Regions from separate parts of the Mus musculus genome. Here region 2 is reported to be linked to region 1. The links are microRNA targets in miRTarBase. Many come from high-throughput screens and were not tested one by one. Region 1 holds a microRNA gene; the other region holds the end of a gene's coding sequence.
Evidence for each region. Region 1 holds the annotated microRNA mmu-miR-203-5p (AGUGGUUCUUGACAGUUCAACA, at 2,570-2,591, shown strand). A microRNA usually pairs through its seed, bases 2 to 8, with sites in the 3' UTR of a target mRNA and lowers its output. Matches are read on the target gene's strand: a 7mer-m8 pairs with bases 2 to 8, a 7mer-A1 pairs with bases 2 to 7 and ends in A, and an 8mer does both.

Region 2: miRTarBase lists Glrb as a target of mmu-miR-203-5p. The part of its 3' UTR that is shown has no 7-base or 8-base seed match.

What each region holds. Positions count from the first base shown.
Region 1 is chr12:112,128,320-112,132,468 of GRCm38, forward strand. Mir203 (microRNA 203) reads left to right here and starts at 2,561; the gene lies at 2,561-2,636. Gm51289 (predicted gene, 51289) reads right to left here and starts at 2,627; the gene lies at 2,568-2,627.
Region 2 is chr3:80,841,694-80,845,693 of GRCm38, forward strand. It overlaps Glrb (glycine receptor, beta subunit), which reads right to left. Exons shown (of 10, transcript NM_010298.6): 10 at 1,906-3,564. The coding sequence ends at 3,271. Among named protein-coding and RNA genes, the nearest start is that of Gria2, 41 kb to the left of the region's middle.

The DNA.
Region 1 (4,149 bases):
CCCTACCCACACCTTAGGCTCCTCAGCCTGGTTCCCAGGACCCAGCAGACGCTGCCCTGGCAGCCACCCAGCTCCTCACCCAGACAGGTGTGCTTACACCTTGCACAACCTGGTGACACCACCTCAGCACAGCAGGGGCCCAGAAGCCTTTGCCCCACACCTCAGTGAATCCTCCATGAGTAGGTGGAGAGGTACCACGGGGCATGAGCATCCATCTACAAGACCTGACTTCACCTGTGGGCTGAGACTTCCAGGGTCCAGGGCAGGGAGGTGAGACTGTCAGACATAGGAAAGTGTGGAAGGCGAGCTCAGCCTGAGGCCTTCACTCTCCTCCTGAGGGGCTGGCAGAGCCATTGCTTGGGATCCACCACACTTGGATTGTGCAAGCTGAGATGGCTCCCTTCCCTGTTCTGCTGAAACACCCCCAGTCCCGCCTTCCAGTTGTGGAAGGCTGACTGAGGCTTTTCCCCAGGTCCCCATACAGGTTCTGCAGATATGAGCAACAAGGGTCAGGGGGAGGCAGCAATCGGGCAGGTAAGAGGGACTCCTACAAGGGTTGGCAGCCAGGCCGGTTCTCAGGATCCTCAAGGATGATGGGATGCAACCTCACACCAGACAGATGCCAGATGGCCTCAAAGGCACCGTCCAGAAGGCTTGGGGGGGGGGGACGCAGGTGCTGCATTAATAAGGTCCTCTGAGGGTCCCAGATAAGTTGCTTTAGGAAGCACGATACTTGGGACACTCGCATGTCCCTTTCAGGCTCCTACAAAGGGCACTGGGCCATCCTTCCATCTGCAGGAACCCTGGAATCCCCTGTTAGCACATGCAGAGGTGGTTCAGGCTGCCCTCAGACCAGACATAAGATATTGGATAAGCTGGGGAACCCTATGGCCCTCCTCACAGTGGAGGAGGGCCGGGCCCTGCCCCCAGCAGGCAAGGCTCACTGCTGTTTTGCACACTGGTAATTTCCCTCTAGGGAGGCTTCAGCTCCTCTGAACGCCAGGGCTATCTCTAGGGAACATCTCCCTTTTGTCACGCCCTCTGGTTCCCAGCGCCCTCTATTCTATAATCAGACTCCCCAGTTGAGCCCTCCAGGCCACCCCCACCCATCTCCTCATACACAAGTAATCTCTTGCAAGGTTACCCTTCTGGTTGTCATATTTCAGGTTGCAAGAGAGCCAGAGTTTTCACCTGCCTCTCAAAAGTCCCCTCTGAGGCATAGTGCCCACATTTGCTATGGGAAAGGAGCCCACTCAGGCTAGACTGGGTACAAAGGGGTTTGCTTGTTTGTTTGTTTCTTGTCTTGCCGTTGAGGGTTTCTCACGGAGATAGGAGACAACTTCCAGACTAAGTGTGTGCCTGGTGAGTAAGACTCCAGCAATGCCTCTTTGTGGACATTCCCTAGTTCTCCATGCCAGCCCCTCTGACTCCACATTCAATCAGACTTGCACACTGCCAAGGGCTGTGGAACCTCTGAGAAGGCATGGCTTCTCTCTGAGGCCGAAGACCCAACTGCAAAACAAACAAACAAACAAAACCAAACACATTAACACACACACACACACACACACACACACACACACACACACACACACACACACACACACAAAACCCTACACTGTTCACCCTACAAGGCGAATGCAAAAGTTAAACTTGACAGCGCCATCAGTGAAAGGTCTAGAGGCTTCCTCCTGCTGCCTTGGCCCAGTCTGTGGCACCCCGGAAAAGAAGACACTGGTGTTCCTTGGGCCAGCTGGCCAGAACTTGAATGCATTATGACAGCCTTCTGGTCCTCAGGGGCTCAAGTTTGATTCCAATCGCTCTCCTTTTCCTTTAACACTGTCCTTACTGCACTGGAAGGGAACCCTTAAGGGCTCGGTGACTAAGAGGGCAGGGCGCCTGCAGGTGCGGAGCAGACAGGGCCCTTTGGACTGCGGGCAAGGTCCCTGGTACATGGCACAAGGACCCAGGACCCAGGACTGGGCTCGCCCCGCCCCCTCCGAGCGCCGAGAGGCCCAGGTCTGGGAAGCAGAAACTCGCCGCAGCCCCCCCACCCAGTTTCACTTTCTCTTTGTTCCCTCCTTCCCCTCCCACGGAGTTCTCTTTGAAGAGAGTCCGCGGTGCGGGCGTGTCCGTTCCCGCCCCCGCGCCGCCCGTGGGGCTCGGTGCGTGCCCCGCCGGCGTGGCCCCTTGGCGAGCATTGCAAAGCCGGCTCTCGGGCTTCCAGCGGGCGCGGCCCCTGCGTCGACCCCGGCCAGGTGCGCCAAGCTGGGCGCCGGGTGCGGCCGGTGACTCAGGGCCACCCCCGCGCGAGCACGCGGAGCAGCTCCCGGGGCCTCGGGCCGACCCGCCGCGCGACCCGCGGGCCTGGAAAAACCGGTCAGGCCAGCGCGGCTGGCGCGTTCCGGCGCCGAGCGGGGCGACCTAGACGCATAAAAGGCGCAGGCACGCCGGCTGCCGCCGCACAGAGTGCAGCCCGGCCACGCGGGCCGGGTCGCAGGAGGGCGCTGAGCTGTGGCTCCGGAGCTCCGGGCTGTGCAGAACTTCTGTGTGCAGGCGCGCCTGGTCCAGTGGTTCTTGACAGTTCAACAGTTCTGTAGCACAATTGTGAAATGTTTAGGACCACTAGACCCGGCGCGCACGGCGGCGACGACAGCAGCGACGGGGCGGCCCCGACGGCCAAGGTCGGCTTGAGAGGGGCGCGGGGGTGGGGTGGGGGCACCCGGATCGCCGAGACTCGTGCAGTCCCGCAGCCTGGCAGGAGTGCAGAGCGACGACCCGGGACGCACGCTGGCCCTGGACCTGCACAGCAGCCTGCACTTTCGCCCACACTGCTGACACGTGCGCCTCACCTTCATTCTCTCCTGATCCACCCTTGTCCAAAGCCACCGAACCTCTGGCAGGAGCCGGCCGCCTGACCTCTGGGTCAAGGGGCATTCTTTGCTCCAGCGTGAGAGTGGCCACTGGGGCTGAGGCTGCCGAGCCCTTGGTAGTCATCTTGTTGAGCTGAGAATTCTTCTGCGGGAGCTCTCCCTTTTCCAGGCTGGGGTAGTGATCCTGTGAGTGTGTGCTGTATGAATGGACAGCTTCTAGGGCCAGACACGGGCTGGAAGAGTGGTAGTGGGGACAGGCCCAGTCCTGATGCAGAGTTGAGCCAGGGTGATCTTTTGGGGCCTCAGGCTCAGCTGTTGGATGAGTGCACCCATGGGAGAGGTCTGAGTGAAACTGTAAGTGGCTCTGAGCAAAGTCTGCTTGACTTGGCATTTCCACCTCCAGGTGGTCAGGCCCTGTCAGATGGGGTTGTGTGGAAAGAAATGGATGCCTGGACCCTTAAACCGACAACATAGCAACATCGGGAAAGAGGGCCTCCTCCTATCCCAGCTTCCTTGGCCCAAATATGGGAGCCACTGGACAGCCTAGACTGAATTTGAGGCGGGTCAGAGCATTTCCCACTGGATGAGTCCCTGTGTCCTGATGGCACGTTGGAGAGGTACCCATCCTTTGCATGTGTGCATGCCAGGCAAGTACAGGAGACGGCCAGAGGTGGGAGGGAATGGTGTCCCATGGGGCGCCCCCACTCCGCACCCAGTTAGCATCTACTTTGGGTCAGCATCTTGCCTGTTAGCCAGAAAGTGCCACTGTGGACACCTCGGGCTGTTAGAGAGCAGGTACCCCTAGGAACCAGAGGGCATCCCAGGTGCTGTGCTGACTGCCCTCGGTGAGTGCCCTCGGTGAGTGCCCTCGGTGAGTGCCCCTGGTGAGTGCTCTTGGCCATTCAGTCGGGGTTTGACACGCTGGATGTCCTTGGTCTGTAGTTGTGAATCATGTAACTTGGTTTAAATGTGCATATTGTAGGTTGATTAAAAATAATAATAATAAACGTATTCCAAAGCATCCCTGTGTCCTTGAGGTTTCTCATTGAGGCCTGTTTGTGAGGCCTCTTCTCAGGCATCCTAATCACCAGAGAAGGAGAAAGTGAAGCCATTGGTTGGGGAGGTAACTACTCCAGCCCCGGGCTCCGCTTCCACTTTCTGCCAGGTTTTTCCTGGCTGTGGAGGAGGCCTCCTTGTTGGCTACTTCTGATCATCCTGAGTGAAGCTGCTGACCCAGACACCCTCTCTGGCGTTTGAGATGTACTTCCCAGAGCCA
Region 2 (4,000 bases), not on the chromosome of region 1:
AGTTAAAAGGAGTGTTTACAGACATGACACACAAGCCTGGTCTACTAAGAAGAAACAAAGCATTACACTAACCATTTCTATAAAAGGGGATGCCAGAATTTAGCCCTTTACTTAAGTCTAAACATGAGAGAAATTGGTTGAAGTCAATTTAGTGGGATATTAGGGTATAAATAACTTTATGATAAGGGAATGTTTTGTTTGGTTCACTGAGGCCCAGCATGAGACATTAAGTATACCTTTATGGATAGTGGTATAATCACATTTTAAAAATACTTTATATATGTATAGGTTTACCCAAGTTCCACATGTGGGGGGCCTGCAGAGGCCAGAAAGGGGCCAGGTTCTTTGGAATGGAGGTTATAAGCAGCTGTGAGCTGCTGCACATGGATGCTAAGAACTGAGGCATGGTCCTTCTGCAAGCATTCTTAACCACTAACCATCTCTAACTCAACATAGCCCCAGTCATGTTAAAGAAATTGATGTCATAACAATGAAACAAAACTCATGATCCTGGCTTGTACTATGAAGGAGAGTTACAGAAAATAGAAAAGAATTAATAATTCGCTCAGTGCCAATTTCCCGAGGAGGACCCATTCTATCGCTGTGGTCATGAAATGAAAGGTCCTTGTAATTTGGAAAGACACGCTGGAGTTGTATAGGTAAAAAGACATCATGGCTTCCATTTACAATCTTGAAGAGCAGCTTCTTGTGCACACAGAGTGATGGAAGAGAAAGAAAGCACGTCTGAGAAAAGAGGAGTGTCTGCGGACTGTAGATCAAGGGTGCACAGGAATTCTTTGTACTTTTTCAAGTTTGTTGGAACATTCTGAAATGATGCCAAGTGAAAGAAATGAAAAAGAAACAGGTCGACATGATGTTGGGTAGTAACTGGAACAGGGAGGGGGCTTGTTCTGGTAAAAGCATGCATTCGTATCTTTTAGCAGAAATGTATGAGGAAACACCAGAGTTTTAAATGTCTCAGTTTTTCAGGTCAGCAGCTTCACCCTGGGCATTCACATAAACAGCCACATCCATACACAAATAGCATTGTAATATAGTTTTGTATTTGAAAAAGGACAACTTCATTTCCACATGGGAAAAAAATCCTCCCAAGAGGAGGCAGAGTTCATACTTATACGTGAATATAAGTATGTTGTCATCTAAAAAGAATCCCAGTACATATAATGTGGGGAATCCAAATAATGTTAGGTTAAGTGCCATTTATTCTATATGCTTATGCTAAATTACTTTTTATAGTCAAAAGTCAGACTTAGCTTAGAGATACCTAAAAACGGGTCTGAGTTGGGATCTGGGCACATTGAACCCTGGGAATCATAGAAAGAGAAAAAAGGCAGGGATAACAATGTATGTGCTATTCTAAACAGATGTGTCTGGTTCATAAAACATCTGCATATTTAGCTCAAAATAAGAAGTAGCGATGAGACTCTAGACCAAGGATATAGTCTGATATTAAGAAGCTATTATATTGTATTACATGACAAAATTCCTTCCCCGCTGTTTTTACAATACATTTCTATATCATGACACTGCTTTCACTATCAGACACCTAATACCCTAGATGAAAGGCCCTAACACGAAAGCAAGTTAGAAAAACAAATGTAAGAAAATATCACTACAAAGAGATTCTTTAAATGATACATGTTTAAGGTATTTTTCCCACTGCTGGCCCATTAAACTAATACTTGCCTAGGTCTTGGGAGAGAAAACTATTCGCCATTTTACTTGTGGCATTTTAAAATGATCTAGACTGTCATGCTTTTGTAATTGGATGGTATTGAAAGACTACAGAGGATTACTCTATACACCATTTAAAGAAGGCCATAACCCCCGGAATGCTCCTGAGTTGAAAATCTTCAATAAATCACATAGCAGTAAAGAGCAAATGGCAATTGCACAAATAATACTTTTAATGCATTATGTTATGAGTTGGCTGTACAAACTATCAACAAGAACAAAAGCACTCCAAATAACGCAAAATGGCTTTATGGTCTGTTTACATTACAGTAATTACTAATAGCTCCAATTTTAGCTAAGACAGAAATAAACAGTTACACTATGACACTGTTAGAAAATGGGGCTTTATAAGAAGAGGCTTAGGGGTTCTTTTCAGATAGAAATAAGATGAAGTCAGCCAGCCCCAATATCTAGACTTTCAGCGAGAAGAAAAGGGTGAAGTCTAAAGGTTAAATAAAAAAAATTATTAACTAAATCATTGTTTTGTAACATATTCAAATACATTCAAATAAATAAAAAAAATTCCAAAAACAGTTTGAATATTACTTGAAATATAGAAACATTTTAATAAAATAAACAACCTAAGTCCTTCAGTGATTATGATTTTTCCATTTCAAGTTCATGCTAACAATTTCTGGAGTCTAACAGTAATCTGGACTCACATGTCACCACACTATTTAGGTTTGAAATGTGTGCAACTCTTTTTAAGGCTTATGCTTAATGCTCTCCATACCAACCAATGAAAGGCATGAAAATAGACTTTGATTTAAGGTGGATTAAAGGATTTATTTTATCCAAAATATTTAATTAATACATCTATCACTATTTGTATTTTGCCAGAAGCCAGAACTTGCTATGCATTTATACTAGCCCAGATTTCTCTTTTCTTCAGAAATGCTTACTGTTCTATTATCTGGCATTTTGACGACACAAGCACACTTAAAAATAAGCTTGCTTTATAAATGTATAATTATGATTTTATTTCTTAAGGAGCCTGCATAACTATTACTGATCTACCTCTCTTAAAAACTTTAAACACTATGCCATATAATCTTGCTTAATCTGCAATAATACTATCGAAAATTATTTAATAAGATGGCTTTCTTTCTTACAAGGAAGGGGATGTAAGATACTGCATACATGGACCAGTGAACATGACAGGGGTCAGCGTGCACATTATGTTTTCATCTGGATTACTGGAAGTATTTGTAGTTACAGAGTTACAGTAGCTGAAGAGCACATTATGTAGATTACATAGTATGCATATTTGTCATTGATTCTTAAAGCACTATGCTCAATATACATACATCTATCTATCTATCTCACAGTCGGTGCACAGACTTTACAGGGTCATGCTGCCATTCAAAAGTAAGGTGCTGTATTTTATTATAATCAAGTGGCATCCAAAATGCAATATATTGCTAGGAAAATGCAAAGTTTCCACAGATCAGCAATTATGAATTGCATTGGTCACAATGAAATGGTGCTGTATTTCATACAAAGGGAAATGGTTTATCATAAATATATAGACCAATATATAACATTGAAGAACAAGAAGCAGAAAGGAAATAATGCTCTTGCATAAAGGTCGATGCGCTTGGCTGCTGTTGGGATGACAGGCTTGGCAGGCGGAGGCTTCTTGTTCTTTGCCTGTGGTTTCCCAAGTCCATTGTTGACTTCGATGGGTTTCCCATAGCAGTCATAATTGGATAATTCAAAATCTCTTGGTAAGCTTCCAACAATGCTGAAGTCATTGGATCTCAAATCAGACTTGGAAGTACAAACTTTTTTGCATCTGGTCTCACCAACCTGAGCACAAAAATGAGAGATGGTGTGACAGGATTTAACTCAGTTATAGATACCATATCTCCTCAAAAAGATACTTTAAAATGGAGTTTATACATTAGCATGAATAATAGTCAACTGATTAACCAACCAGAATAATTAGACATTTAAGAAGGCTCTGATACTTTGCCCAAATAACAAGGCTAATACCATTGAATGGGCTTTTTTTTTTATTAATTTGTCTAAGAGATAATGCATGAATCAACATTAATTTAGGTTACTATTTAGGTTGTAAGACTTTTTAAGTTTAAATACTAAGAAATAAACATCTGTCCACGGTCCAGAGAAAATATTACTCTGAGTGTGAAGTCAGAGCTTTCATTATTGCCTTCCTGTTTCTGAATAGAATTGCTGATTAATTAATGATGGAGCCATTTGTCCTGCAATAAGACTTTTGACC